Linked DNA regions of Struthio camelus. The protein of the gene in region 1 purifies or fractionates together with the protein of each later gene. This does not show direct contact. Links are inferred from orthologs where the notes say so. Each region holds a gene or a part of one and is shown in the gene's direction. Other genes may lie near its edges.

What was found.
Region 2: the proteins of U2AF2 (region 1) and SNRPD1 fractionate together in Homo sapiens (co-fractionation; 3 studies listed by BioGRID, with this or other methods). This does not show direct contact. The link is inferred for Struthio camelus from reciprocal best matches to the Homo sapiens genes U2AF2 and SNRPD1.
Region 3: the proteins of U2AF2 (region 1) and SNRNP200 fractionate together in Homo sapiens (co-fractionation; 3 studies listed by BioGRID, with this or other methods). This does not show direct contact. The link is inferred for Struthio camelus from reciprocal best matches to the Homo sapiens genes U2AF2 and SNRNP200.
Region 4: the proteins of U2AF2 (region 1) and HNRNPC fractionate together in Homo sapiens (co-fractionation; 3 studies listed by BioGRID, with this or other methods). This does not show direct contact. The link is inferred for Struthio camelus from reciprocal best matches to the Homo sapiens genes U2AF2 and HNRNPC.

Annotation. Positions count from the first base shown.
Region 1 is NW_027182594.1:221,336-228,354, forward strand, and holds the start of U2AF2 (splicing factor U2AF 65 kDa subunit), read left to right. Parts: upstream 1-4,011; 5' UTR 4,012-4,103; coding exon 4,104-4,152; intron 4,153-4,819; coding exon 4,820-4,955; intron 4,956-5,079; coding exon 5,080-5,109; intron 5,110-5,224; coding exon 5,225-5,328; intron 5,329-5,450; coding exon 5,451-5,602; intron 5,603-6,308; coding exon 6,309-6,425; intron 6,426-6,535; coding exon 6,536-6,674; intron 6,675-7,019. Other genes in the region: CCDC106 (coiled-coil domain-containing protein 106), read left to right, coding at 1,414-1,730. UniProt on the Homo sapiens protein: Plays a role in pre-mRNA splicing and 3'-end processing. By recruiting PRPF19 and the PRP19C/Prp19 complex/NTC/Nineteen complex to the RNA polymerase II C-terminal domain (CTD), and thereby pre-mRNA, may couple transcription to splicing.
Region 2 is NC_090943.1:50,585,837-50,593,583, reverse strand, and holds the start of SNRPD1 (small nuclear ribonucleoprotein Sm D1), read left to right. Parts: upstream 1-4,746; 5' UTR 4,747-4,971; coding exon 4,972-4,985; intron 4,986-5,562; coding exon 5,563-5,639; intron 5,640-7,747. Other genes in the region: SACM1L (phosphatidylinositol-3-phosphatase SAC1), read left to right, coding at 356-413, 1,185-1,321. UniProt on the Homo sapiens protein: Plays a role in pre-mRNA splicing as a core component of the spliceosomal U1, U2, U4 and U5 small nuclear ribonucleoproteins (snRNPs), the building blocks of the spliceosome.
Region 3 is NC_090968.1:1,325,464-1,333,374, forward strand, and holds the start of SNRNP200 (U5 small nuclear ribonucleoprotein 200 kDa helicase), read left to right. Parts: upstream 1-4,903; 5' UTR 4,904-5,007; coding exon 5,008-5,052; intron 5,053-5,908; coding exon 5,909-6,072; intron 6,073-6,527; coding exon 6,528-6,699; intron 6,700-7,123; coding exon 7,124-7,316; intron 7,317-7,575; coding exon 7,576-7,631; intron 7,632-7,911. Other genes in the region: protein FAM178B, read right to left, coding at 104-256, 341-418, 593-694, 850-940, 1,400-1,497, 1,674-1,850, 2,193-2,283, 2,369-2,489 and 6 more. UniProt on the Homo sapiens protein: Catalyzes the ATP-dependent unwinding of U4/U6 RNA duplices, an essential step in the assembly of a catalytically active spliceosome. Plays a role in pre-mRNA splicing as a core component of precatalytic, catalytic and postcatalytic spliceosomal complexes.
Region 4 is NC_090970.1:27,498-34,717, reverse strand, and holds the start of HNRNPC (heterogeneous nuclear ribonucleoproteins C1/C2), read left to right. Parts: upstream 1-4,212; 5' UTR 4,213-4,676; intron 4,677-6,292; exon of another isoform or gene 6,293-6,447; intron 6,448-6,736; 5' UTR 6,737-6,762; exon of another isoform or gene 6,763-7,220. Other genes in the region: RPGRIP1 (X-linked retinitis pigmentosa GTPase regulator-interacting protein 1), read right to left, coding at 1-33, 146-622, 706-859; G-protein coupled receptor 4-like, read left to right, coding at 2,585-3,565. UniProt on the Homo sapiens protein: Binds pre-mRNA and nucleates the assembly of 40S hnRNP particles. Interacts with poly-U tracts in the 3'-UTR or 5'-UTR of mRNA and modulates the stability and the level of translation of bound mRNA molecules. Single HNRNPC tetramers bind 230-240 nucleotides.

The DNA of each region.
Region 1 (7,019 bases):
CATGCGGACCCCCCCCCAGGGCCCCCCTTGGGGACACCAGGGCCCCCCCCGGGACACCACCCCCCGTCCCTGTCCCTCCCCAGGGGACCCCGGACGTGACGGAGTCTCTCTCTTTCTCTGTCCCGCATCTGTCTGTCCCCGTGTCTGTCCCTGTCCCCGTGTCCTCATCCCCGTCTGTCCCCATGTCCCTGTCCATCCTGTGTCTGTCCCCGTGTCCTCGTGTCCGTCCTGTCCCCATGTCCTCGTCCCCCTCGTCTCCATCCTCGTGTCCTCATGTCCGTCCCGTCCCTGCGTCTCCACGTCCTCGCGTCCGTCCCCATGTCCTCGTGTCCGTCCTGTCCCCATGTCCTCGTCCCCCTCGTCTCCATCCCCGTGTCCCCATGTCCTTGCGTCTGTCCCCATGTCCTCGTGTCCGTCCTGTCCCCATGTCCTCGTCCCCCTCGTCTCCATCCCCGTGTCCTCATATCCGTCCCGTCCCTGCGTCCCCACGTCCTCGCGTCTGTCCCCATGTCCTCGTCCCCCTCGTCTCCATCCCCGTGTCCTCATATCCGTCCCGTGCCTGCGTCCCCACGTCCTCGCGTCTGTCCCCATGTCCTCGTGTCCGTCCTGTCCCCATGTCCTCGTCCCCCTCGTCTCCATCCCCGTGTCCTCATATCCGTCCCGTGCCTGCGTCCCCACGTCCTCGCATCTGTCCCCATGTCCTCGTCCCCCTCGTCTCCATCCCCGTGTCCTCATGTCCGTCCCGTCCCTGCGTCCCCACGTCCTCGCGTCCGTCCCCATGTCCTCGTCCCCCTCGTCTCCATCCCCGTGTCCTCATGTCCGTCCCGTGCCTGCGTCCCCACGTCCTCGCATCTGTCCCCATGTCCTCGTCCCCCTCGTCTCCATCCCCGTGTCCTCATATCCGTCCCGTGCCTGCGTCCCCACGTCCTCGCGTCTGTCCCCATGTCCTCGTCCCCCTCGTCTCCATCCCCGTGTCCTCATATCCGTCCCGTGCCTGCGTCCCCACGTCCTCGCGTCTGTCCCCATGTCCTCGTCCCCCTCGTCTCCATCCCCGTGTCCTCATGTCCGTCCCGTGCCTGCGTCCCCACGTCCTCGCATCTGTCCCCATGTCCTCGTCCCCCTCGTCTCCATCCCCGTGTCCTCATGTCCGTCCCGTCCCTGCGTCCCCACGTCCTCGCGTCCGTCCCCATGTCCTCGTCCCCCTCGTCTCCATCCCCGTGTCCTCATGTCCGTCCCGTCCCTGCGTCCCCACGTCCTCGCATCTGTCCCCATGTCCTCGTCCCCCTCGTCTCCATCCCCGTGTCCTCATGTCCGTCCCGTGCCTGCGTCCCCACGTCCTCGCGTCTGTCCCCATGTCCTCGTGCCCACCCGTCCCCGCGTCCCCACCCTTGGGGCCCCGCGCCCGGGGGGCAGTGAAGGACGCCGACGGGGTGCTGTGCCGCTACAAGAAGATCCTGACGACGTTCCAGAAGCTGAAGAGCATGAGCCGGGCCTTCGAGCACCACCGCGTCGACCGCAACACGGTGGCGCTGACGACGCCCATCGCCGAGCTGCTCATCGTGGCGCCCGAGAAGCTGGCCGAGGTGGGCGAGTTCGACCCCTCCAAGGAGCGGCTCCTCGAGTACTCGCGCCGCTGCTTCCTGGCCCTCGACGACGAGACCCTCAAGAAGGTGCAGGCCCTCAAGAAGAGCAAGCTGCTGCTGCCCATCACCTACCGCTTCAAGCGGTGATGGGCCCCCCCTCCGGACGCCTGGGCCCCCCCACCTCCCCCGACCCGGCCTGGAGCCCCTGCACCCCACCCCGGACGCCTGGGACTCCCCCAGGAGCCCCCCTCAGCCTCCCCCGGATGCCTGGGCCCCCCCAGGAGCCCCCCCGGATGCCTGGGACCCCCCCCAGGAGCCCTCCTCACCTCCCCCTGGATGCCTGGGACCCCCCCTCAGCCTCCCCCGGATGCCTGGGCCCCCCCAGGAGACCCCCCCCGGACACCTGGGACCCCTCCAGGAGCCCCCCTCACCTCCCCCTGGACGCCTGGGACCCCCCTGGACACCTGGGTCTCCCCAGGAGCCCCCCTCAGCCTCCCCCGGACACCTGGGCCCCCCCAGGAGACCCCCCCTGGATGCCTGGGACCCCCCCAGGAGCCACCCTGGATGCCTCAGACCCCCCCAGGAGCCCCCTTCAGCCCCCCCCAAACCAGCCTGGAGCCCCAAGACTCTCCCCTCAGACGCCTGGGCCCCCCTCCAGCTCCCCTCAACCCGGCCTGGAGCCCCAACACCCTCTCCCAGACGCCTGGGCCCAGCCCCAACCTGGCCTGGAGCACTGAGACCCCTCCCGGATGCCTGGGCCCCCCTCCCAGACCCCCAAACCACCCCCCAACCTGGCCTGGAGCCCCCCCCCAGCACACTGGGGACCCCCGAGAGCCCCCCGGACGCCTGGGCCCCCCTCCCAGACCCCCAAACCACCCCCCAACCTGGCCTGGAGCCCTCCCCCAGCACACTGGGGACCCCCGAGAGACCCCCCCGGACACCTGGGCCCCAGCCAGGAGCCCCCCCCCCCGGAAGCCTGGGCCCCCCCGGGGGGTGAGGGGTCCCCTGCCCCCCCCCAGCTCGGTGTCAGTGACGTTTCTGCCCCCCCCCGTCACCTGGACCAGGGAAAAAGCAGGAAAAGGAAGAAAAAAAAAAAAAAGAAAACACCCTGGAAAAGGGAGAGAAAAATGTACAAAAACAACCGGTTTCTGGCAGAGACTTGACATGACAGAGGAGAAAGCGGCGATTTGGGATAAAAGCGACGTTTCCGGCTGTGTCTTTTCCCCACCGTGTGTTGGGGGGGGTCAGGGGTCACCGGGACCCTCGGGGTCAGGGGTCACCGGGGTCAGGGGTCACCGCGAGGGCTCCCCCCGCCCAGGGGGCACGTGCGGCTCCCGCCTGCCCGTGACGACACTTCCGCTGGCGGCCGGAAGCGCCGCTGCCCTCCGCGCGCGTGCGCGCGCGCTGGCTCCGCCCCCCCGGCGGAAGTTGCCGAAGCGGCGGTGGGCGGGGCTGGCGGACCGGAAGTCGCCCCTGGGCGGAAGCGGAAGTGAGGGAGCCTCGGCGAGGTCGCGGCTGGGAGCGGTGCCGATCCGCCCGCCGGGAGCCGCTCGGGGAGGGGGGAGGCGGGAGAAGCAGCTGGACCGGAGCGGCCGCTCACGGGCAGCCGGTCCCGGTCGCCGCGGCGGGGAGCGGAGCGAGGAGCGGGCGCGGCGGCGGCGGCGGCGGCGGCGGCGCAGCCGCCGCCCGGAAGTCGTCGAGGTCCCGCCCGGAAGTGACGGAGCAGCGAGGCGGAAGGAGCCGAAGCGGTGGGGGGAGCCCGAAGGGAGGCGAGCGCCGAGCGGGTAGAGCGGAGCGCAGGCGGAAAGAGCCGAGCGCCCAGCGAATAGAGCCGAGCGCGGCCGGAGGCAGCCGAGCGCCGAGCGGGTAGAGCCGAGCGCGGCCGGAAAGAGCCGAGTGCAGGCGGAAAGAGCCGAGCGCCGAGTGAATAGAGCGGCGCGCAGGCGCAAAGAGCCGAGCGCGGCCGGAAGGAGCCGAGCGCAGGTGGAAAGAGTCGAGTGCTGAGCGGGTAGAACCGAGCGCGTAGAACTGAGTGCAGGCGGAAAGAGCCGAGCGCCGAGCGGGTAGAGCCGAGCAGAGGCGGAAAGAGCCGAGTGCAGGCGGAAAGAGCCGAGCGCGGCCGGAGGCAGCCGAGCGGAGGCGGAAAGAGCCGAGTGCGGCCGGAAAGAGCCGAGCGCGGCCGAAGGGAGGCGAGCGCCGAGCGAATAGAGCCGAGCGCGGCCGAAGGGAGGCGAGCGCCGAGCGAATAGAGCCGAGCGCGGCCGGAGGGAGCCGAGCGCCGAGCGGGTAGAGCCGAGCGCGGCCGAAGGGAGCCGAGCGCGGCCGAAGGGAGCCGAGCGCGGCCGAAGGGAGCCGAGCGCGGCCGGAAGCGGCCGAGCGCGGGGCCGGAAGTGGCCGAGCGCTGCCGAGCGGGGGAAGGCGCCGCCGCGGCCTGCGCGGGGTCGGAGCCGGAGCCGCAGCCGGGAGCGGGGCCGAGGCCGAGGCGGGAGCGGGGCCGGGGCCGCCATCGCCGTCGCCATCATGTCCGACTTCGACGAGTTCGAGCGGCAGCTCAACGAGAACAAACAAGGTACCGGCGCGGTGGGGGGGGCGCCCGGGCCTGGCTTTCCCCTCCCCCCCCCCGTGGGTGTCTGGGGGGGGGATCCCCTTCACCCCCCCTTCACCCCCCATCACCCCCTCTTCACGCCCCTCACGGGGTCCTCGCACCCCCCCATGGCTCCCCCCCCACCATGAACCCTCCCCTTGGGGGGGGTCTCTCCCCCCCCCTTGAGGGGGTTCCCCCCCATCATGAATCTCCTTCTTGAGGATCCCTAAATCCCCCCCCTTCAATGTGGGGGCCTCCTTGAAGGGGTCTCTTCCGCTTCCCCCCCCCATGGCTGCCCCCCATTTTGGGGGTCTCTTCTCCCCCCCCAACCCCCCATTTCCCCATGGGGCTCTTGGTCCCTGCTGCTGGGGGGGGAGGATGGGGGTCCCCGTGGGCCCCCCCTGAAAAGGAGGGTCTGTGCCCCCCCCCCGTCTTTGTTTTGGGGGCGCCGGGGCGGCTCCTCGGCCGTCGGCGACTCCCCGTGGCCGAATCCCCCCCTCCCCGCCCGCCCGGCGCACGTGGCTCCTCCCGGCCTGCGGGAACGCCGCGGTGTGGGGTCGGGGGGGGGGAAAATGGGGCAGGAGGGGTCGTGGGGGGGGGTGGGCTGCCGACCCCCCCCCAACGCATCCCCCTGCGCCCCGACTGCCGGCAGAGCGTGACAAGGAGAACCGGCACCGGAAGCGCAGCCACAGCCGCTCGCGGAGCCGCGACCGGAAGCGCCGGAGCCGGAGCCGCGACCGGCGGAACAGAGACCAGCGCAGCGTCTCGCGGGACCGCCGGCGGCGCAGGTACGGCAGCGGCGGCGGTGGGGGGGGGGCACCCGGACGCCTGGGCCCTTCCCGGGGTGGGGGGGGGAGCCGCTTCCCTTTCGGAGCCCGCGCCGAGCGCAACAGCCTCTCCTTCCGCCCGCAGGTCGCCCCTGAGCCTCTCGGGTCCCCTGAGGTGAGTGGCCGTGGGCGCGGGGGGGGGGGGGCGGCGGCGGCTCTCGGGGGGCGGCGCGGGTTGGGGAGGGGTCTCCCCGCCGCCCCCCCGACCCCTGCGTGCCCCCCCCGCGCAGCCGCTCGCCCCGGCACGAGAAGAAGAAGAAGATCCGCAAGTACTGGGACGTGCCGCCGCCGGGCTTCGAGCACATCACGCCCATGCAGTACAAAGCCATGCAAGGTGCCCGCCGCCCTTCCTCCCCCCTCCTCTTCCTCCTCCTCCTCGCGCTCCTCGGGGCGCTCCGGGGGGGAGCCGCCGCCCTGACGGAGCCCCCCCGCCCCGCTCTCCGGTGTCGCCCGCAGCCGCCGGCCAGATCCCCGCCACGGCGCTGCTGCCCACCATGACGCCGGACGGGCTGGCCGTCACCCCCACGCCGGTGCCGGTGGTGGGCAGCCAGATGACGCGGCAGGCGCGGCGCCTCTACGTGGGCAACATCCCCTTCGGCATCACCGAGGTACTCGGGGAGGGGGGGGGCCGCCGCCGGCGCCGGCCGAGCCGCCGCTTCCCCAGCCGGAGCGCGGGCCGACGGCGGGCGTTCGGGAGCGGGGCGTTGGGGCGGCGGGAGGCGGACGGGCGCAGCCGAGGGATGACGCCGGCCACCTGGAGGAGCCATCCGCGACACGAGCTGGGTCAGGTCTCGGCGCCGAACCCCCCCCCCCTTCCCCCTTTTCCCTCCCCCCCCCCCCGGGTCTGTGTGCGAGCGGAAGAGGGTCCGGCCCCGGAAGCGGGATCACGCCGCCTCCGGACGTCTCCTGGACGTGGCCCGCGGGAGCGGAGCCCCACGCAGCGGCTAGCGCTGGAAGCCACCTCCTTCTCTGCTCTTTCTCTCTGTCTTCTCCCTCCCTGCTCCGTTCTCTGCTCTTCTCTCGCCATCGCTCTCTCTCTCTCTTTTTCTCTCTCCTTTATTTATTTTGAATTTGACTCTCGGCCTAAAAAACAAGATCAAAGAGTTGTTTCCATTTCTTTTTAAAGTGGAAATTGTGGGGCTGAAATCCCTCGTAGCACAAAAGTTTGCTACCGCCGCACCAGGCAAGTAGGTCGTTTCCCGCTTCCCGGCCCCCCCCCGCTCTCGTCTCCGCGCGCGCGGTCGGCTCGCCGGGCCCCGGGGGTCTCGCCGGCCGGCGTCACCGCGCCTCCCCCGCCTCTCTCCCCCCCCCCAGGAAGCCATGATGGACTTCTTCAACGCCCAGATGCGCCTCGGCGGCCTCACCCAGGCGCCCGGCAACCCGGTGCTGGCCGTGCAGATTAACCAGGACAAGAACTTCGCCTTCCTGGAGGTGAGCGCGGCTCTGCCGTCCCCCTCCCGCCTTTTCCCCCCGGCGGGGGGAAGCGCCGCCGGCGGCTCCGCTCACCGCCGCCCCCATTTTCCGCCCCCCCCCCCCCGCAGTTCCGCTCCGTGGACGAGACCACCCAGGCCATGGCGTTCGACGGGATCATCTTCCAGGGGCAGTCGCTGAAGATCCGCCGGCCCCACGACTACCAGCCGCTGCCCGGCATGTCGGAGAACCCCTCCGTCTACGTGCCGGGTGAGGGGGGGGGGACCGGGGCGCGCGTCACCCCGTCCCGTCCGGCGGGAGGCAGCTACCCGCCGCTGCGGCCGGCCCGGTGCCGCTTGGGCCGCCAAACGGGCTTTTGGCGGCCGCGGCGGGAGCATCCGGGGGTGCGGGGTGAGAAGGGGGGGGCGTTGGGGGTCGCCCCGGCCTCACGTCCCGCTCGGCCCCCATCCGGGGGGGGGCGAGAAGGGGGGGGGCGTTGGGGGTCGCCCCGGCCTCACGTCCTGCTCGGCCCCCATCCGGGGGGGGCGAGAAGGGGGGGGCGTTGGGGGTCGCCCCGGCCTCACGTCCCGCTCGGCCCCCATCCGGGGGGGGCGA
Region 2 (7,747 bases), on another chromosome or scaffold:
TAGAGTGTAACATGAAGAAATCTTAATTTTTTTGCCGTCCTCCCCCGTGTATATCATGTAGTGAAATGGGGTGGGGATATTAGAGGTTGAATTGGTGGTTCATGTATTTATATTTAAAAAAAAAAAGTTCACCCCTCTTCTAATATAATAGAAGATACATTTTTAGTTCTGAACTTATTATTGAACACACCTTTACAAGTTTTAAGTCATCCAAAATTTTACACTTGTACTTCAATAATTGAAGTAACCTTATTGCAAGACAAGTAAATAGCTTTGCAGCACAACCAATCTTAAAGGATATTAAGTAATACATGTTCTATTATATCATGTAATTATTCTTTTTCTCTTTCTTCAGTTACCGATTATTATGGTGGTTGCTTTCTCTATGTGCATTATTTGTTTGCTAATGGCTGGTAAGTCACTATTTAGTTTGACTTCACAAAATTAGCTTGCTTGTATATTGTTTTTTGTTTGTTTCTTTTAATAAATGGGTGTTAGAAACTATTTAGTATATATTTGCTTGCCTCTCAGTCATACTAAAAGGTCTCCAAGCATGGCTCTGGAGACTGAGGGTCAGCACTACGTCATTAATGTGAAAAACCTGAGGTACTATAGAAAATGAAGCTAAAATTAGTAGAAGTAATTTAGGTGTCATTTAATTGCCCCAACATTTAGTCGGTTGCACTTCAGTTGGATGTCTGGCTTTGCTATAGGCTGGATGAATCCCTTCACAAATACCTACCTAATTCTGAGCAGAAAGTCAATCCAGATAAGGCAGATGTTGGTGTAAGCTTGGTCTGAAAGAAGCCCCCCTTGATCTAAATCCATGTGACAAATTGTGGAGTTCTCGCCTTTTGCCTTTGCCTTGAATTTTATAACATGAGTGCCAATGGAGTACTTGACTCCGTGACCTCTGTAGCTGTGTTTAAAGTGCTGTTGGAGTTGTGTGTGGCAAACAGCAGAATGCTAGCTTAAGAACAAATAATTGTGGCTTGTCAACCTCTAGGAGAGGAGGTATGACATAGTATAACAAAAGACCCTAGTACCTGTGGACGTGCTTTCAACTTCAACGTTTGATGGCAGATCTCTGTGGGAGGGCTTGGGCAACTATTTTGCTTTTGTATTAAAATACTCTTATAGGTAATGAGAGATAATGACATGAAGTGTTTATCGACTCTCAACAGGTGATACATGGACTGAGACATTGGCCTATGTACTGTTCTGGGGAAGTGCAAGCTTTGGAACTTTTGCTATCATCCTTTACAACGGCAAGGATTTTGTAGATGCACCCAAACTGGTCCAGAAAGAGAAGATGGACTGAATTTGTGTGTGTGGAAAGCGGCTTGGTACAGAGGATTCCTCAAGCCACACCTGGAGTCTCTACTGACCTGCTTTCCACACCAAATAGTGGTCTTTTTAACGTTCATCCTTGGCAGCACGGGGAGAAAGTGAATCGTCGTCTTTCGTGGTAGCTTTCAGCTGAGATCTGACTCTACAGTCTTGGTTGCAGTGATCTTTGGAATGTTGCATTAGTGGAGGAGGCTCCACCCTTACCAAGATAATTCAAAGATGAAAGCCAGCTTTGTGGCGTCTGGAGTGTTACAAGATATAAATGGACTGCGTAAGTTCGCAGTCCACCTGGGTAGTCTCATCTGAATTTTTGATCTCTGGTTTGACAGGAGAGAGCCCTCATTCTGTTCATGTGTCAACCTATCCAGGTGTTGGAGTATTATTAATAGAGGGGTCTAATCATGTTCTTTGAGCAATATGGCTTAATAGCAGTAACTTGTTCTTAGATTTACAGCTGGATTACATTTGTTAAAGTCCACGTTAAGGAGTCTTTTTGTGCATATTTATGTATTTTTCACTAAACATAAAGGATTGTTGAATCCTAATGCTTCTCCTCTAAAATAAGCTTTGCACCCTGTCTTATCTAGGACTGATGCAATATTCTACTAATCATTGTTTGGGTGAAAGGACAGTGTATTTGGATGCTTCTGAAATTGCAAATGTCTTGCACTGTTTCAATACTGCAGTCTTTAGATGATGATTCATTAGTTAGTGAGTTAAAATATATAACCTTCTTTCTAAAGACGTAAATGAAATCAAAGAATGTAGACTCCTCTGCAGTGTTTATTGAACCCTCCTTATGCTAAAGGTCCAAAGTACACCATTATTTTAAGAACGGTCACAAGATTAAAAAAAATGAACTTCATATTATTTTGCTAGTCAGCTGCTTCTATATTTTTTGGTTATGTTAGAATAATTTATGGAAGAAGGAGTAACAACCTGAGGAGAAAAGCGTTAGGCAAAACCCCATGTTTGCACTTGGGAGCAACAGCTTGCTTTTCGTGCATGATGTTGTAACACACTCTTAAAAACAAAAACAAGAAACTAAGCTACAAAATAACTTGTGCTGGTTAACCATGAATGTGTGTCTTTAAACTTAGTGCTTCCAAGCTGTATAAAAATAAGTAATCCTAATCAAGGACCAATTTTAAACTATTTTGTCACTTATTTTATATGGTTTGTTCAAAACCAGACGTGAAACTTGCTTTGGGCGCTGTGCATTGTTTAATATTTCCTGTAAGTACAGCTGTATATTCGGATTGCGGTTATAAAGCTTAAATGGGGAGAAGGGAGAAACATGTAGAATACTAGGGCTAGCACAGTTCTCACTGTTGAAGCGAGAACACAAAACACTGATACTGCAGTGTTTCATTGTGTTATGACTGAAAATATGTACAGATTTTTGCAATTGTTAACTGTTCATTTTAACCTTGAATGTTTCTGGAGGCCTCTCTGGGTTTTGTTTAAAGGTAATCTGTTCATAAGCACTAGTAATTGCAAAGTATCTGTTTGCTTTTAGATGCTGTAATGGAAATACCAGTTGAGACAGTTAACTGGAAAATCCTCTAACTTAAAATTTTCAAACATGAACTCCATAATGGATATAAAGTATAAGAACATCATAGACTATCTAAAAGTACTGTTTTGGGGGGTTTGGGTATTTTTTCTTTTTTAAATGGCTCACTGGCAGGTGGCATTTGAAACTTGGTTCAGTTGTCTTGCAGTCTGTAACTAGATATCTGCGTCTTCGGTGAAGAACCCGTTGCAACAAAGACCAAACTTGAATTGCTAGTATAAACACGTTGTAAGACATAGACTAACGTAGGTTTTCAAAGTTGGAGGGCATCTGTATTTCAGTGCTTTGCAAAGAGTCTGTATTTCTAAAGTCACAAATGGTGTACTCATAAATGACAATAAAATGTCCAACTTTTCTATATACTGTCAGTTGTGTTTTGTGCTTTGAGTGGACTTTTTCCAAATGGTTCAAGGTCTTTTTCCACCAGAAAGATGCTTCCGATTTGTTGCGGTTCATAGCAGGTAAATATCCTGCTGTTTCTGTGCTTAAATATTGACGATCTTGCACTGAGCACCAAGCATTTTCATTAGCATCGTGTTCTGCTCTTCCGTGCCAATTCTGGATCTTACATTTCTGAGAACTGTTACGGGTGGATTTTTCTTGAGATTAAGCGCAAGCCTCACCTCTTCTCAGTGTTCAAGGCTCTCGTACTTTCCCAACACTAGTTTGGTGGGTTGTTTTGTTGTATTGGGTTGTTTTTTTTTTTGTGTGGACAATAATAGCCCCTCAAAGTGAAAATTCAAGTCACTATCCTTTTTCCTTCCCTCACTGCAGATAGGCATGAGGGTTTTTTTTTTTAAGTCTGTTTTTTCATGCTTGTGTTGCAGTTTGCTAGAGCAACCCGCTGGCCTGTTGGAAACAGTCAAATGCACTTGTCTAAATGCAGAGGTTCTGAACAAGCTGTTTCTGAATGACTAATGAAATAATAGTTTGAGTGTAGTGTTGACATTTTAAATAGGATCAAGCTTCACTAGATGACTAGGTGTGCACAATCATATAAGATGATTGCTAGTAAAATTGTATACTGGTATAACAAAATTGGTCCTGAAGCCATTAGTTGAAAGAACTTGTTTTTTTTTCTTTTTAAACTTTGTCATCTTTTGTGGGGGGAGAGGGGTAGACTTTTAAGTTTAGAGCAGCTTTACTGGGAAGCAACTTGGGAAAATACTGAAATAATTGCCTGAAAGGTAAGGCAAATGTAGTGGCAGAGCTCCGTGCCCTACAAGTAGGGTTGGTTGGCCCAGAACAAAATGTGAAGTTCAGCAGCATTTGTTTGTGAATCTACTTCCATCTGGCTCTTTTTTTTTTTTAAATCTAATTCTTTTTTTCTTCATATTTACACTCTTGTTTCTTGTTTCTTTTCTCCCCCTGTCATTAAACTGTTAGGCAAAAAAGGAAAATCAAGAAAAGGAAAGAAACGGCCCTTGCTCTTTCCTGGCTTCCCTGTGGTGAAATCCTACCACCCAGCATAACCTTCCCTTGCCCCCCAGCTGCTCCTTAGGGCCTGCGTCATATAATGTTGCATAAACAGTCACTTTATGGGAGCAAACACTTTATATAAAAATGTATTTTTACCTCAACCCTCAGGTTTTTGCTGAGGGTGGTGTGTGTGTGATTTTTTTTTTTTTTTAATATCGTGGCAGTGGGTACTGCATAGAGGGAAAAATCTCGAGCTGTGCTTCGAGCCCTGTTACCGGCTGGTTTGGAAAAGACTGTTATCCTGGCCTCTTTTAATGTTACAAAAATAATAATCATTATTTAAGCCCGCCCGCCCGCTCCCTGCCTTCGCGCCCCTGCGCACTGCGCATGCGCTGACCCCCCTCCCCCGCTGGGGGATGGGGCGGGGCCGCCCCTTCCGGCGCCTGCGCGGCGCCGCTTCCGCTCATTCATTCTCCTCGGCGGCTGCCGCTTCCTGGCGCCAGTGGCGGCGCGGCCTGCTCGCAGCAGCCTCCGCCGCGCCCGCCGCCCGGGCCCTCCCGCCCAGGGCCTCTCCTCTGCCCCGCGCGGCGGCCGCCGCTGCGTGCTGAAGGCGCCGCCCGGCCGCCATGAAGCTCGTCAGGTGAGCGGATGGAGGCGGATGGAGGCGGCCGGGCCTGGCGGCGGAGGCGGGGAAGCGGCCGCGCTCGCGCCGGGCCGCGCTAACGGTCGCCGCGCTAACGGTCGCCTCGCGGGCGCCCCTCCCCCCGCCGGGCGGCGGCTCCGCCGTGACCTGAATGCCGGGGGTGGGGTGGGGGGAGGCTGGAGTGCTCAGAAAGCCCTGATTTTTGGGGGGGAAAGCCAGAAATTATTTTCTGGCGGTACTGAGAAGCGCTGAAACGTTTCCTTCTTTGTTCCGGATAAGCGCAGTATCCGGGGCAGGGTGCTGAAGTCGGTAGCAGCTGTGCGGTGTCCCGGCTCCTCCCGGTCGGGTAGGGGTCGCGCCTCGTCTGGTTTCTTGTGTCTTGCGCTCGTGCAGTGCCTTAATAAACGTTTTCGGTAGAACCCGCGAGATCTGGAAGCGTTTTCTTGGTAAACGTGAGAGGTGTGGGCCCTGACGTGCATCAGTGTTCTCTAGTAGAGAATGTTATGTGATAACCCATGTTGGCTTTATGTGGGAGTAACAAAAAAACAAAAAAAATACCTTTTTTAATTTCTAGGTTTCTCATGAAACTCAGTCATGAGACTGTGACCATTGAGCTGAAGAATGGGACGCAGGTGCATGGAACTATCACAGGTATGACATGGTGGTAAAGACTAGAGCAAAATACCGGCTGTTCCTTTTCTGCGCATAATTGGCAATTGTGGTTTGGCTTGGGCTTTTTTGTTTTGTACTCTTTCTTATGATGACCCTCTAGTTCGTATCCTTTTACGAGTATCAAGTGTGTTTTTTGCAGAAGAGTCTGGGCGTTTGCAGGAGCTACTAAAAATACAGTGAAGAGCTTTGACCAGTCGGCTTACCACACACCACCATCATCTTTGGCCTGGTATCAGGGCCAGTTCACCTGCAGTCAAACTTACAAACTATATCAACAGCGTAATATGCCATCTGTTCATAAGCACTGCTGGGAGATAGTGGATTGATTGTAGTACTTATTGGGAGCCTCCAAGTCGGATGGTCCTGTGGGCTCTGCTTACAAGTAGGCTTAGGGGAAAACGAAGTAAACCTACGCAGACTGTTTTGTGGAGCAAATCTGATGCAAGAATGATCTAGTCTTAGAATTTTAGCAGCATGATAATGTTGGTGAGCTAATTCTAGCTCCCTATCAAACTGGTATACTATAGCCATGTAAGAACTTTATAGTAGAGCCACCAGCAGAGGATTTCTTTGTGTCTGTAGTAGGTAAATGGCAAATGTTAAGCATTCACGTAGTCTTCAGTCAGTCCAAGTACGCTGTAGATGATTTTAATCTAGAAGGAAATTATTTATTTTGAGTGTAGCTTTGCTCTGTTTAAGGTGACTTTATATAGGAATGCATCTTTAGGTACGCTTGCATTAATTTCCTGAAACTGATTTGAAAACGCACAGCTTGATGAGGGATACAGGGCAGAGAGGAATCCTGGTGTAAAGAATCTGGTTCGTAGCTGTTGCCAATGATTTATCATGTAATAATCTAAGTTTGTGAACGTTAATGTCCAGGGAGGGGTAAATCTATAAAACGTGCTAGTTTATAAAATGAATGCGTTCCTTTATGTCACCGAACTGAAAGTTGTGGGGTAAGCCTTTCAAACTCAGCTTCCTATATATTTAAAAACGCATGGACTGTTTTGTTTTTTTCATAATGTCAGAGACTGGTGTTGCTCTGAGAATATTTGTGTTAGAATTACTTCAGAGGCAATCAGGTCTATGGGGTGTGCTGTTGTTAAAGCAAACCCTTGCGGATAAGTTGAGGAACGTTCTTGGTCTCCTTTGCACCCTAGACTGCTTTTAGAAGCTCTTCTGCCCTGACGTTATTTGTAGCAAAGTTCACGCTTGGCAGAGCTGTATTCCTGGCGATTGCTGAAGTTCCTTTTTGGTCAGTAGCAATGTGCTGAAGTTTGGCAGGGTTAAAATCTGTTGAACGTGGCATTATTCTGCTGCCAGGTCTATCAGCTTTGATTAGCACCTGAATGTACCATCTTGATACTCTGATTGCAGCATGCTCTATTGAACCCGACTAGGTGGGAAATGAAGAACGTCTCCGTCTGACCTTGGTGCTCTTGCAGGCTTAGTTATTGAGCAAAGCCTTGTGTCATGCTAAGAATCTGTAAAAACTTGGAATGGAACCCATGTTTCTAAAATGACACTCTTCCCTTTACACTGCTGCATGAGCCACGTTAATATTTGCTGTGACATCTGCAAAATGTAGTATCTCCTGGTGTATCAGGAGATGCTTGGCCAGAGCAAGCATGCTGAAGGGGCGAGCTTTATGCTACGCATACGTTACACAAATAAGGGGACAGGTCAGGTGGATTACAGATGTTGGAGAACTGTTTTATTTAAGTAAAATCTAGGATTGGGGTGGGGGGATGGAAGAAATACTTGGAGGTCACAAGTGCATTTTTTGTGAACTTTGGAGCTCTGCTAAGCTCCTTTGGTGATTAGGCTGAATTCATAAAATTATGAAACCATTTAAAGGCATAAGCACAGAACAGTGGTCCTATTTCTGGTCTGCTACTCGTTTACATTATTTGCCTTGATGAAGCACTTGTCTTTCAGTTTTATCTTTCCATATTTTTGAAATGAGACAATAGTTGCTTTTACCTCACAGAGCTGTTTGTTCACACACTTTGAATACATTAAAATTTTGCTCATGTGGGGTGCCTTGTCACTGAATTAGCGGATTTTTTGTAAATTATAATTTC
Region 3 (7,911 bases), on another chromosome or scaffold:
CGGCGGCGTGGGGCTCAGCTCCCCCCCCCGGGGTGCCCGCTTGTCCCCCCTCCGCCCCCGCCTCCGCCGGCGCAGGGCTGGAGCACCCCGGGGTGCCCCTTACCCACGGCGGGCGCTGTGCCAGCAGGTCCTGCCACTTGACGTAGGTGAGGGTGGCCAAGCCCTTCAGCTGGGTGCGGAAGAGGAGGCCGGAGCCCTCGCGGAGGCCGGCCCCGAGCTGCCGGTCCAGCTGGGTGCAGAGGTGCTGGAGGTGACCCTGCGGGGGACAGGCGCGGGGGCGTCAAGGCGGCAGCGGTGGCGGCGGGCACCCCCGGGCCGCCCCCGCGCCCTCCCCGCTCACCCGCTGCTCATCCAGCAAGCGCTCGGTGCCCACCACGGCGTTGGCGAGGATGAGGAGGCTGTGGCTCAGGTAGCAGGCCTGCGGGCGAGAGCGGGCACGGCTTGGCGCTGCTCCTGGGGCGCCCGCCACCCCTTGGCGCACCAGGCTCCCTTGCTCCCCACGCCAGGTCCAGCCCAAACCAGCACGGTGGAGGGTATCCTGGGGAACAGCAGCTCCGGCGCGGCACCCGTTTTCCGAGCAGCGAGCACCCACCTCCTGGTCGGGGTCCTCTGGCTCGTTCTGGCACCCGGCGAGCACCAGGCGCTGCAGGGTGGCGGGCCGGACCAGCGCCAGGAGGTGGCACAGCGCCTGCAGCTGGTGGGGAGAGTGGGCGTCAGGGGCGCAGGCTGACGCCCGCCCAGCCGGGCTGCCTTGTCTCCCCGCGCGCCCGCAGAGGCACCGCTCACAGGGTACCGGAGCCCGTAACGGATGCCATTCTGAAAACGAGGGAGCGCCCAGGCTGCGCCCACCTCTGCTTGCGCCCGGCCGGGCAGCACCGTGCCCAGCGGCTCCCCCAGCAGCCGGGCCATGATGCAGAGGCTCAGGTGTCGGCGAAGCTCCCTGCGGAGAAGGCAAGAGCGTGAGAAGGGTGTTGGGGCTGGCGTGGCACGGGGAGAGGTGCCAGCTCGCGCCCACGCACCCCGCCACGTGCCCGGCCCTGCACAACCCACGCCCGTGTGCCAGGCTGGATCGTCTGTGCAGCGCCTGGCATGGCACAGTCCCGGCGCACTCCAGGTGCCCGGGGCGAGGGGCGGCGGTGCCCCGAGCGGAGCCGGCAGCCGGGTCCTGCCCGCTTTGTGCGCGTGCAGCCGGTTGGAATAAAGGAATTAGAGCGAGACGCATCCGAGCCTGGCCCTGGCACGGCGCCCGCAGGGCCGTGCCAGGCTCCTGCATGGCAAAACGGAGCTCGACTCCCCGTCACCGCGGCGCGGGGGGCACGAGATGCTCGGTGCGATGCCAGCAACTGCTTCAGCATCCCGGGGGGTGGGATGCAGGTAGTGCCAATGCGCGGGCACGTACCTGCCCCTGCTCGTGATGTCCGGGAGCAGGCGCACGACGGCAACCAGGTTATGGTGGTGCTGCGAGACCTGGCACAGGGACAGGCACAGATTTGGCAGCTGGGGAGAGAAGGAGGTGCTGAGCGACGAGCAGGGCGGGCACGGGGCTGCACCCGGGCGGCAGAGCCCTCGAGGGGACGGGGCGCGGGGGCGCCAGGCTCAGCCCGACCGCTGAGCACGCCCAACTTGTTGCGTTGGTGATGTGCAGCAGGGTTTGCTCCCCTTGCCTCGGGTACCTGCTCCTGCCAGTCCCCAATGCCCTCCAGCAGGCAGTGCAGGAGGTGCTGCAGGTCGGGCAGGGGCTGGCACCGCAGCGCCCGGTCGAGGCTGAGGAAGCAGAGCAGGGTGAGGAGCGCCAGGCGGGCACGGTCGGGGTAGCGGCCTGGCTGGGCGACCACACACAGCGCCAGGAGCTGGCAGGGGAAGGCAGCGTGTGAGCCGGGCGCCAAGGATCCCGAACACACCCCTGAACCACCCCCGTGCCCGCATCGTTGCTGGGGCAGGGATGGACTGGCGGCAGCCGCAGCGGGCACCCCTCCAGCAGCTGGCATCAGCGCTGCTCCGGGCCTGACTCTCATTAGCAGCAGCCCCATTAGCTGGGCGGAGATAACGAGGGCGGTCAGCCAGGACGGAGGCGCCCGGGTGCTGCCACACGAGCCCCTCCGGGTGGATGCAGCCACCTCCCTGTGCCAGGCTGCCCGCGCCAGCGGGCGCTAGGTCCCACCGCGGGGCGGGCACGGGCGCCGCGCTGCCACCTTGCAGATGTCGCTGAGCTGCGTCGCCAGCGCCAGGGCGCTGGTCGCCTCGGGGTCTGCCTGCCCCGGGCATCGGGGAGGGTCCGGGGGCCTGCAGGGAGAGGAGCGGGGTCAGCGCGGGGGGCACCCGAGCGGACCCAGGCGTCCCGATTCTCCCGCGCCGATCCCGGGCTCACCTCCTGTCCGCGGGGCACAGCTCGAGGGGCAGCAGGCCCTGGCGGTGCAGGGCGCCAAGGTCGGCGCCCAGGCGGCAGAAAACCTGGCTGATCTCCGGCACCGTGGGGCACCAGGGCTCCCCTGCGGGCGAGGGGGGCCGGTGAGAGCGGGGTAGGGGGCGCCCCGGGTGAAGGCAGCCCCGTGCCCACCCCGCGCTCACCCACGGTGCTCAGCCGGTGCACGTTGATGTCCCACAGCACCTGGAAAGCGTTGGCCGTATCCGGGCACAGGGCCATCAGCTGCCAAAGCAAAGAGGGCGTCACCGGCTGTGGCGCCGCCCGGGCACGGCTGGGACAACGGGGATCCTCCCACCGCGGGGGCCCGGCTTACCTGGAAGAGCCAGCGCAGGACGGGCAGCGGGCACGCGGGCACGCAGCGGTACAGCAGGCTGAGGTGGCCCTCACGGACGAAGGCGGCTTGGCAGGCAGGCGAGGCGCTACGGAGGGTGACACGGGTGCGTGTGCCCGACCACGGACACAGGCGGACGCGCAGCCCGGCGCGGGCACCCGCGTGCAAACATAACAAATACCCGCCCCCAACCAAATACACGAACACCCGCCCTCGCCCGCAGGCAGGACCGCGCGCGTGCCGGCAGGGCTGCCGTCGCGCCCAGACGCCGGCTGACGTGTTCCCGCAGGGCGTCACCCAGCCCGGGGGACGGGCCACGGGCGCGCGGAGCCGCCGGGACCCCCGCCGCCGGGCTCTCACCGGAGGAAGAGCGCTTCCAGGTCGCTCTGAGGCTGCAGCCCGCCAGCGTCGAGGGTGGGCGCGGGCAGCGGGCGGGCGTGGAAGACGGGCTCGCCGGGGTGCACGGCCGGGATGAGCGCCGGTTTGACGGCGAAGCGGGCCAGGAAGAGCCTGCGGGCCGGAGGGCAGAGCGGCCGCCGTGGTGCTGGGCGGGCGGGCGGCGGGTGCCCCGCGGCGGCCACCCGCCTGCCCGCGCCACTGCTACCTGTGCTCCTCGGGCAGCGGGGCGTCCTCGTCCGGGGACTCCTGCGGGCTGCCGTCGTCCTCGCATACCCACTCCGGGCTGCTGCGCGGCGCGGCCGCCTGGTCCTGCTCCCTGCCACGGGGGCGCTTAGGGCGCGACGGGGGCCGTCGGGCGCCCCTTAGCGTGACGCCCTGGGCCCGCCTCACCTCTTCTCCTTGACCAGCGAATCCAGGCTGTTGGCGAGCGGATCCGGCTGCGGGCACAGGGCAAGAAAGCGTTAACTCCCCAGCGGCTCCCGCGACACCCCAGGGGAAGGAGCCGGATGCCCGGCGGGCGCCAAGCAGGGACCTACCCGGCCGCGCCGCGGTGGGCTCCGGGCCTCGTCGCCCGCCAGCAGCAGGTCCCGCAACGGGATCAGGACGTCCTCGCCGTCCTCGGGGGACGCCCGCCCGCTGGCCTCGTCCGGCGGGCGCCCGCAAGCCGCCCGGCCTCGTGGCCGCCCCGGCGACCGTCCGCCTCCGGCGCGGCGGCGCCCGCCCTCGCCCCCGGGGCTGAGCCGGGAGCGACGCGACGCCGGGGCCGGCCCGGGCGACGCTCGTTTCGGCGAGGAGCTCCGGCCGGCCCCGGGGCCGGCGGCGCGTTGCCTGCTCGACGCGCCGCGCGTCTCTTTGGGCCGGCGGGGCGGCGGGGCGGCGGGGCGGCGCTCGGCCGCCGGCGGAGGGCGGCGGGGGTGCGGAGGGGGCCGGGCGCGCGGTCCTCGCCGGCCCCCCCCCGCCGCCGCCGGTGGTGGTGGCGGTGACCGCTCGCCTCGCGCCCTGCCGGCCTCACGCGGCCGGCGCAGGCCCGGGGGGCCGGGGGCGGCCTCCAGCAGGCCGGGGGGCGGCAGGGCGAAGGGGGGCCCCACGCGCAGCTGCTTGAGGGCCCGCAGCTGCTGGTAGCGCTGGAGGCTGGCCTGGAAGCGGGGGCTGAAGAGGCCGGTGCGGGGGGCCCGGGCCGACGACAGCGGGATCTGGTACCAGCGCAGCCCCGGCGGCGCCATGGCCGGGCCCTCGAGGGGGCGGCGGGGGGGGGGGGGTGCCCGCTGGGCTCTGGGGGTGGGGCTTAGCTGGGCGGGGTGCGAGGAAAGGGCGGGGCCTGGGCGAAAGGGGCGGGGCCGAGCGGGAGGAGGGCCAATGGGAGGCTGGTGGGTGGGGGGAGGGGGGGGTATGTGCGGCGCTGGCCCCTCCTACCCGCGGCGCTGCTTTCAAATGGCAACTGGCAACGGCCCCGCCCCTTCCTCCCCGCCTCCTTTCCCGTCTGAGCCAATCGGAGCTGGGGCAGGGCGGCGCGCCCCGCCCCCTCGCGTCTGGCCGAGCCAGCTCTTTGGTGGGGAGGAGCAAGGGAACGGTCTATCAACGGCAAAGCCCCGCCCCCCTGCCAATCAGCATGAGAGGCGGGGCTAGCCCCTCCGTGAGTGTCTCCTCCCCTCAGCAGACTCCCGCCTCGCATGCTGGGAGATGTAGTCCCCGAGGCAGCAGGGCATGCTGGGAGTTGTAGTCCCGAGGGGGCAACGCCGCCCCGCGGCACCAGCACTTCCGGGTCGCCTAGGGGCACCGGAGACTGCTTCCGCTTGCCCCGGAAGTTCCGCTGCCTGCTCCGGTGCGCGGCGGCGGCCAGCCCGGCGGCGCCATGGCGGATGTGACAGCGCGGAGCCTCCAGTACGAGTACAAAGCGGTGAGTGCGGCCCGGCGGGGCCTTGAACCTCCCCCGAGGCGCCGGGAGGGCTCCGGGTTCCCCCCGCGGCCCGGCCCGGTCGGGTCCCGGGCTCCCGCGGCCTCGGTGCTGCCGCAGCTCGGCGGGACGTCGCCGTGAAGGGGAGCCGGGCAGCCGCGGGGGTCTGCGGGCGGGCAGCGCCGCTGGCTGGAGCAGGACGCGGCCCCCAGGACGCCCTGCAGCCGTTTAGGCGCGCCTGGGCGCGGCCGCAGCAGCGCCCCTTCCCCCTGGGCCCCCTAAAAACCAGCCAGTTTGAGAACATTTCTTTGTAGCACCGCTGTTACAAGAGCGGTCAGGAGCTCGGCGTCCTTGGAAAACAGAAATGAGTGCGACGCCCGCTTTGAAGCTAATTTTAAAAGTGCTCCTGTCAGACTCTGAGGCTTTCTGCAGAATAAAAGCTCCGGTTCTGGTGTAGTTGTCAGATGCTGTAGCGTAACGAGCGAACCCTACGGGGACTTTCCCGACTGCCAGAAGTTACAGGGTGCCGTCACGTGACTCAGTCCAAGTTTAAAGTCTAAAACTGTGGCCTCTTCAAGCATGAATAATTTAATTCGGCATTATTTTTCCTGCATTGGGCAGGGGAAAGTTGGACATGCTGCATTAAAGGGGGTTTTATGTACTTAATAGAGCCTCTGGAGCAGGCAGAAGAGGCTTCTAGATTTGAGCGGGGGAGGTTGCTGCACTGAACCTGCTTTGGCCTAGGTCGCGGCTGGCGCTGGCTTCTTGGTCTCACCTGTCCGGATGCAGTGGACTGCGTGGATTGCGTTAATATTTTCACAGGCCCGATTAGTGCCTGTTTTTATTCTTTCTCTTCCAGAACTCCAACCTCGTCCTTCAAGCAGATCGCTCCCTCATCGACAGGACTCGGCGAGATGAGCCGACCGGAGAAGTGCTTTCCTTGGTTGGAAAGCTTGAGGGCACCCGAATGGGAGACAAGGCCCAGAGAACCAAACCGCAGATGCAGGAGGAAAGACGAGCAAAGTGAGTGATTGACTCCTGCCCTGAGCTTGCCGTTCGAAGCCGAAGGGACGCAGAGCCCTGAAAGAGAACCTCCTGGTTGTATTTGGATTAACAAAGCTCTAGGCAATTAATGTGCTAGACCCCGTCTTTTAAGTAATACAATCTCAACTTGTTTTAGTTCTGTGAATGTGGTATAATTCAATACAATTACGACCCCCATTCAGGTCGCTTTCCAGCTACTAAAAAGAGCATCTGTACTTCAAATCAATTGTTTTGTGTTTAAGTGAATGTGGTAGAATAAACCGAACTGTGAAACTTTTTCAGGTTCGAGAGTTCATGCTGCATAAAGCTCTCTTAATGGTATCTTATGTCAAAGAGAAACGACTCCTTGATTCCCGCTGCTTTGGCGTAGAGTGGGAGAAGCGGCTCTGCTTCCTGACTAACCCAGGTGCTGTCTTCCTTGCCCTTCTTTCTAGGCGAAGGAAGCGTGATGAAGACAGGCATGATATCAACAAGATGAAGGGTTATACCCTGCTGTCTGAGGGCATTGATGAGATGGTGGGGATCATCTACAAACCCAAAACCAAGGAGACCCGCGAGACCTATGAGGTGTTGCTAAGCTTCATTCAGGCAGCCCTTGGGGACCAGGTAAGGACGTGGACAGGTCAGCGAGGGTATCTCTGCTCCAGCAGAGGATTCAAAGCGTGCATGTAAAAGTGCGAGAGAGAAATCCGAGTCCTTCTTCGTTATCCCATGAGATGGATTCGCTCCCTTGATTCTGTGTTTTGTGCTTGTAGATATCACGTTAGTATATTCGTTACACTGATGCGGGGTGGCATATCTCTGTCGTGGGATGTGACCTTTCGATGGCACAATCTCTGCTCCCCCCGTGCCTACGTGAGGGTGCAGAGCTCGAAACGAGATGTTTTCTAAATCTGGTGAGCTATTTGTTCCAGGACTTGAGAACAGAAAGCTGAAAGGATTTGGTCCAGAAATAGGAGGGAGTGATACCGTACCGTTTGAATGACAGTCCTCTTCTTGGCAACACGTGGTCACGTTCTTTATTTTGCAGCCACGTGACATTCTCTGTGGAGCTGCTGATGAGGTCCTGGCAGTCCTGAAGAATGAGAAGCTGCGTGATAAGGAGAGGCGGAAGGAGATTGATTTGCTACTGGGCCAGACTGATGATACCCGCTACCACGTGCTGGTGAACCTGGGCAAGAAGATCACGGATTATGGTGGCGACAAGGAAATCCAGAACATGGGTATGGGCTGTGCTGTAGCGGGCTGCAGCTGTAGTAACGGGGCTGGCAGAAAGTAGTATTACGGTAATTGGTACCAAACCCAGCCTTACTCCAGGAATAGTGTTTTCACACAGAGGAGCTAGAAAATTTTGGACTCTTTTCAAGCCCGAAACCTGGTTCTTTTCAAAATTTGGATGTACGGAGGTGGGATGTGTGGATCTGCAGAGCTTGCATATGGTCTCCAGATTTTCAGATTAATTAACTTGGCTCTCCCTTGCAGATGACAATATTGATGAGACGTATGGTGTGAATGTACAGTTCGAGTCTGATGAGGAGGTAAGAGATGAGACGCTGCGGGGTCTCTGTGCTGTCCCCCCTTGCTTGTTGAGCTGCTCAGCAGGGACCACGTGTGCTTGGCTTTCCTCAGCCATGCTGGGGAAGCAGGCATTGGCTCAGGCTAGGATACCTCTGCCAGGAAGGAGAGGCCAGATTACTTTAGACACTGCTTCCTGGCTTTGGGAGGATTTGTTGATTATCTTGCTAATCTGAGGCTGATTGTGAGTGCATGTTACTGAAAACAGATGGTGATATTTAGATCTCTTGGAAGAACTTGAGG
Region 4 (7,220 bases), on another chromosome or scaffold:
GGCCGCCGCTCCGCGCAGCCCGCTCCCCGCGCGCTGCGAGAGACCGAGGCGGGGATGTTTTCCGTGCGGGAAAAGAGCTTAGACACAGGCAAAACACCGGTGTTGCCCCAAAGTTTGGGGGGGGGAGGGGAGCTGACAGACTCACGGCCTCTCCGCGCGGGGCCCGGCGTCCTGGGGATCCGCGCGGTCCGTTCTCGCCGCCGGTGCCGGCTCCGGCGCCCCTGGAGGGAGCAGGCGGGCGAGTTTTGGGCGGGCGCGGAGGGAGACGCGCTCGAGGGCGCTTCGGGGAGGGCGGCGGCGCTCCCAGCCTCACCCGGCCGACGCTTTCCGCTCCCTCTCGCGCCGGCGGAGCGGGCTCGGCGCGGTGGCCGGTGGCGGCGGCGCCGGAGCTGCAGCTGCTGCTGGTAGGCGAGCAGGCGCCTCCGCAGGGCCCGTTTTCGCCGCTCCAGGTCGCCCGCGCCTCCCCGCGGCTCCTCCCGGGTTTTCGTCGGCTCCGGCCGGCCGCCGGACCCCGCGGGGGCAACGGCGGGGCCGAGGGGCTGTCGCCGCCTCTCGATCCGCTCCCGCGGGCGCGAGCCACGCTCCTCCGGCTCCCCGCGGCTCCGGGGCTGCGTCGCCAGCTCTGAAAACGAAACGAAGAGCTCCGAAACGGTTCCTGATCTGAAGCCGATCCCCGTCCCGGCGGCTATCGCCTCGCGCGCTCACCTCGGGGCTTGCTCCTCGCCCCCGGGGCCTCCGCCGCGCGAGGGGCCGGCGCGCCCGCGGAGCCGAAAACCCCGCGGCGGGGCTGATCCGCGACGGGGTCCGTGTCCCTGACGGGCAGCTCTCCGGCCGTCTCGTCCAGCAGCGGCCGGGCCATGGCTGCGGGAGGGTCCGGCCTGCGAGCGGGGAAGCGACGGCGGGCCGCCGGTTAGCGGCGGTGGAGGGTTTTGCCTGCCGGTTAATCCGCTGCCATCTGCCAGGCGAATTTCAGAGGCGTAAATACCTCGGCTGCCCCAAACCCAGCGGCACCGCGTCCCGCCCGGACAGCGGGGAATATCCCCCCGTAATCCGCCTAATCCGTCGGACGCCCCCCCCCCCCCACCCCGCCAGCAGGCGCTGACGTTCCTGCCTGCGCTTCCCCGCGCCGAGGTCGGGCACGGCGGCGCCCCGGCTCCGTGCCCGACCTCGGCGTGATTTTTCGGGGCGCGAAAAGCCCCCCTCGGCGGAGGAGGAAGGCGCCTCGGCGGGGAGGGGGGGTGCTGGCGTACGTGAGCCGGCGCTGGGGCTGTGGTGAGAGTGGTTTCAGCGCGGCGGAAGGCGAGTCGAAGGCGGCGGAGGCCTCGCCGCGCGGCCGGCCTGCGCTGGAGCAGTTGGGCTGTAGCGGCGCGCGCGGCAGGCGCTCACCGCGGCTCTTTTCTCTCCGTAGACGGCGCAAACTCGCCGCCCTGTAACCGGAGTCCGGCTTCGGTCCAGCCAGCCCCGGAGCGGGAGCGCGATTTCCAGGTGAGGGTCTTGCCGCTCGAACTGCGCCGCCGGTCGCGTTGCTTGGGCAAAAAACAAAAAAAACGGGGTGCTGCCGTCCCCCGGCTCGGAGCAAGCGCGGGGAATTTCTCCGTCCCGAGATCGGGCAGGTTTGCCTCCCCTCGCGCCCTACGGGCTGCGGGGAACGCTGGTCGGCGCGGCGTGCGGTTCCCTTCTCGGAGCGGGGCGGCTCGTCCTCCCCGACCCGCCGCTTGTGCGGCGCGGACGGCTTTTGGGACAGGCGCTAGAGGCAGGCGCGTTGCTCCGACTCGCGCTTTGACCTGGGGAAGCGTGGATCGGGGAAGGAGGACCAGAAGGAAAAATTAAGGAAAACGGTAACAAGCGCGGCCTGGTGCTCTCTTAGCAGCAGACAAGCGGGAAAGGCCAGTTCTTCCCAAAAGCTCAATCGTTTTCCGGCTGGTGCTAGCCACGAAACTACCAGACTGCCGAGACCTCAATAATTTGCTGCTTGAACGAGTCGCGAGGAACTTTTACATAGAGCTGACAGACCGAGAGACTAACGGTTCATGTGGTTGGGGCAAAGAGCAGCTATAAGGTCATTTCTGCCCTGAAAGACAGAGTGAAACTAGGCGGTTTTCTCCCCCACAGCACTCAGCTATGCTATACAGCACACCGGAAAGATGATGCGCCTTTCCCACCTGGCCCCGGCTCATTTAATCGCGTGTCATTTCCCAGCTCTCTTTGAGGCCGGCTAACCCCCGCCACGAGGCCACAAACGGGGGTGAAACCCGGTTCCCACCAGCCTGCGCAGCGGCGTTTCGAGCTGCGCGGGTCACCGCGGCTTTCTGACCGCAGCTTTTTGGGACAAATGTCTCGGTTCGCTCTGAAGTGAACACGAGCAAGCAGCCGCTCCTGGAGGGCAGCGGGGCTGAGGGCTGGCAGGAGGGGTAAACACCCAGCGCGCGGCCGCCACGGATGCTGCTGGAGCTGCGTTTTGTCCTCTCCCGTGCAGAAACATCCTCTCTCGAGCAGAAACGCTGAGCGGAGAGGAGCGGGCGGAGGTCCACTGGCGAACCGCAGGAGAGCGGCTTCCTCGGTCGCGGCCACGCAAGGACCCGGCATGGACAACTCCTCCCAGTGGCACGTGCCCTTTAACGCCACCAAGTATTTCCTCGTCCCCATCTACAGCCTCGTGCTGGTGGCCGGTCTGCCCCTCAACGCCCTGGCCTTCTGGGCCCTGCTGTGCCAGGCCAACGCGTCGGCGCTCTCCGCCTACTTGCTGAACGCGATGGCGGCCAACCTGCTGCAGCTTCTGACGCTGCCCTTCTGGATCCACTACAGCCAGCGGGACCACGCTTGGCCCTGGGGCAGCGCCGCCTGCACAGGGGTGGGCCTGGCCTTCCTCGCTGCCCTCTACGCCAAGAACAGCTTCCTCTGCCTCATTGCCGTGGCGCGCTACCTGGGGCTGGCGCATCCCCTGCGCTTCCGCGGGCTGCAGGCGGCCCGCAGCGCGGCCGGGGTGAGCGCTGCCTCGTGGGCGCTGGTGGTCACCGTGTGCCTGGTGGGCGGCGTCCTCCAGCCCTCGGAGATGCTGAAACCTCACCTCTGCTACGAGCAGCTGTGCCCGAGGGAAAAGGGCTACGCCTTGTTCAGGACCACCGCCGCGGCCCTCTCCTTCTTCCTGCCCTGCTTCTTCATGACTTTCTTCTACCTCCGCGGCCTGGGGAAGCTCAAGGAGATGACCAGCCTGGATGGGAAAGCCAAGCGGAAGATCGCCCGGTCCATCGCTTGCATGATTGCCGCCTTCTACCTGCTCCAGGTCCCTTACCAGGCCACCTCCTACTCCAGGTTCGTGGCGCAGCTGCTGTCGGAGGACACCTGCCCCTTCCAGAGCCGCCTCTTCCTCTACGACCGCCTGGCGCTGTGCCTCACCGCCCTCAGCGACGTGGCCGACCCCCTCCTCTACGTCCTGCTCCTCGGCGACGCGCGGGAGGAGCTGGGGAAGCGCCTGGCTGGCCGGGGCAGAGCCCCTCACCGCCGGCCGATGGTGTCCGGCACGGCCCGGCCGGACGCGGCCCAACCGGCGTGCACCGCGCTGTGACCCCCCCCCCCCAACCGCCCAGCCCCCAAACCTCCATCCCGGCCGCCGCCATCTCCGCTTCGGGAAGAGCATCCGGGACGGAGCGAGCCCCGGGATCAGGGCTGGCGGCAGGGCCGGGGGGGGGGGGGGAACACGACCAGGCCCCGTGAGGCGGCAGTTGGGGGGGGGGGGGCTCAAACAAGCCTCGTTTTTTGGGGCCGTTCCCCACTTTTCCTCACCGCATCAAGCGATTTTTGTTTTTTTTCCAAACGTTCCCCCCCCCCCAAAAAAAAAAAACCCATTTTCCTGCCTCCGGGATGACGACGACGACGCGGTCTCGTCCCCCCCCCCCCCCCCGCCCTCACACCCCGGCAGCGCCCCTCTCCTGTCAGGGTGGCCCCGCCCCCAGGCTGCCGGTAACGGTGCCCGAGCTTTCAAACCAGCCTATCAGCGTGCAGCGTTGAGGTGGCCGGGAGATTGACAGGAGGATGGAACAATAGCCTGCCGGCACCGCGCCCCGCCTCAGCCAATCGTCGTCGAGGACGGTGCCGAAGCTCCCGCCCTCCCTCTCCTGGCCCTTGCGTCATTGTCTTCTGGCCAATAGGAAATCGCCGGCGCGGAGTGTCGGGGCGGGGGGGGAGCCGTGGGAGAGCACAAGGCGCACGCGCAGAACGGCTCGGTTTCAGCGCTCGGGCTACGCCCCCCTCTGCCCCCGGTCTATGGCAGCCCCGCCTAGGGGCGGGGAGCGCCGGCGCCGCTCCCACGTTTATAGGCGGAAAGGGGTAAACGAACAGCACTCTCGACCAATCAGAACAGACACCGGCCTCGCGCCTTGGAGTGACAAGCAGGCTCGCCAATCGCCTCCTCCTCCCGCCTCCCGCGCTGCCGCGCGTTGGCCCGCCCTCTCCCCTCTGTCATTGGCTGGTCCGCGGACGGGCACCCCGCTCAGCGAATCGCGGCGCGCAGCGCCTCCCCTGCCGTCCAACGGCGGCGCGGCGGGGGGGGTTGGGCTGGCTTTCGTCCGGGCCGAGCAGCGCAGAGGGCGGCGTGGGCGCCATTTTGTGAGCAGCCTCAAGCGGGGAGGCGGCGGCGAGGAGGAAGCAGAAGCGGGCAGCGTGCGCCGGAGCGAGCGGTGAGTGGCCGCCGTTTCCCCGCTCCCGGGGTGGGGCGGGGGGGGCGGGGGGGGCTGGGCCGCAGCCAAGGGAGCCGGCGGCGCCGGTTTAGTTAACGGCGTCACACCGCCCCCCCTCTCCACCGCCTCAGCGCGAACCAGCCGTTGTTCCCCCCCCCACACACACCCTTCCCATCGCCGTGATGGTGGGAGGGGGGGCGGTTAACGGCTGCCTTGAGGAGGAGGAGGAAGGGGGGGGAGGGGGATGATGGCGGCGCGTCCCACAGCGCCGTATGTGTGTGTGGGGGGAGGGGGAGCCGTTGGCCGGGCGCGACCACGGCGAGAGCCGGGGAGGGGGGGGGGGAGGAGGGGAAGCGGAGAACGGAGCGGCGCCTCCTTGTGGGCGATACCATTCTGCGGTGGAGGGGGGGGGAACGCGCTGCGTAAACAGCCCTTGTGGGAAGGGGCCGGGAGGAGGGGGCGTGGCCAAGCCGGGAGGAGGGGGCGTGGCCAAGCCAGGTGAAAGCCGCCAGCCCGAGGAGGGGGCGTGGTCAAGCCAGGTGAAAGCGGCTAGCGCCCCGAGGGGGCGTGGCCATCCTGGAGTGGGCGTGGCCAGCCCGCTGAGCAGAGTCAGACGGGATTGGGGTAAGGGGGCGTGGCCATCCCAGGAGGGGGCGTGGCCACACTCCACGTGGCGCTGGCCCTGTTGAAGCCCCAAAGCTGCCGGGGTTGTTGGGGGGGGGGGGGGGGGAAGGAGGAGGTAACAGGACGTCGCTGCCCGAAGATTTGGGTGGAAAACAGGCCGCTTTTGGGGCTGGATTTCTCCCTCCCCCCCTTTTTCCCCTTACCCCCCTTAAAAAAAACAAAATAAATACAAACTGCTTTTCTGCATTTCTCGCCTTCCTGTCTCTCGAGCCGTAGCCCGAGGCAGTCGCCGCCTGTCGTAGCCCCTTCCCGCCCTCCCGGGCCGGATCACACGCGAGCGGGTGTATGTAGCACTGTATTTCTCTTCCAGGCTAAAGGCTCCTCTCTGCCATCATCATCATCACGATACTCACTCGCCAGCTTTTCTGGTTCCTTCCGAGATTGTAACTTTATTCCCCCCCCCCTTCCCCCTCTTGTCGTTTTGCTGGTAATAACCTGCTTCTGCAGTATCTGGCAGGGTTTAAAAAGCGGGGGGGAAAAAAAAAAGCAAACAAACCAAAAAAAAAAACACCCAAAAGACTTTCTTCTGGCCTCTGCTGTGACTCAGATCCCCGAGGTTGCTTGAGCTCCAGTGACCTGGCTTGTAGATCCCTCTTCGCATCCTCTTTCAGGATCCGATGTGTCGTGTGTTCGCTCGGTTCTCCCGTCTCCTCCTTGCCTCAGGGTTATGCGTGTGAGCCTGATGCATCGCCCTGTACGAATCCGCCCTCCGCCACAAGCTCACAGGTGTCTGACGTCCGAGCTGCTCCCTCGGAGACGGGAGAAGCAGAAGGGATTAGAGCGGAGACGGTTTTAAGAGCGTTAGCTGGAAGCGAGGACAGCTGTGAGCTTGGGGCCGTTGGGAGGCCGGCCGATCTCTCTTGGGGGGAGCGGGAGAGGCGGGCAGCGTTGCTGAGGAACCCTGACTCAATCTGTCCCTTCTCCTTTCACAGGGCAGCGAGGCGAAACCCCATCCCTCCTCACTGGAGCTCAGCTTCGTATTAACTCCCCTCCCCACACACGCACACCTCCCGATTTTATAGAGCCATTTTAACGGTGCCCCTGCGGCCTCTTGCTCCCCGCGCCACACTGGAGCTGGATTTAAGATGTAATTTTGAGAGTCAACCTGTATTTTTTTTGCAGCAGCTGGGTTAGAGGAGGAGCCTTTTAGCCCCTCATGAGCTGACCTCTCTCGGGTATTTTTAGAGTGAAGTGATGGTGTGCAAAGGGCTTTGATGGTCTCCTGCCGAGAGCTCTCCCCGCGCGGTCCTCTGGCAACCGCGGCTGGAACAGAGCGTGAGAGAGAGGGAGAGAACAGAAATGATCGTTGCTGACTTGACCTTTCGGCACCTCCCGTTTTTCTAATCTGGGCTATTTTTATTTTTGTTTTTTTACAGCGAGATTTTTTTGATCTTCAGCTACAGTAAGTTATTCAAAATTTTTTTCATTTTTCCTGCCTTTCCACTGATTTCCTTTTTATTGTTGTTGCTAGTTACTATTACTATTATACTACTATAATGCTGATGACTTTACTATGATGATATGTTGCTGATGGTGATGATAATGACACTGCTGATTTTTAACCGGATGAAATCGAGTTTTTCTGAGTGTTCCTGACTGAGCTGGGTTTTTACCCTTTGTGAGACACAGCGAGGTTTTTAAAATTTTTAAGTGGATTGATCACGTTAACTCTTTCCCCCCCCTCCCCCGACTGCTGAGAGTGGGACCCGGTTTCTCCTGAACTGTTTTAGAGCGTCTCTGGAAGTCTGTATTTTTATTTTTTTTTATTTTTTTTATTTTTTTTTATTTTTTTAATTTTTACTCTTTCGTTTGTGCCATTTTTAAACTGTTGCTGCCATATGATGTCTGTGGTGCTGGTCG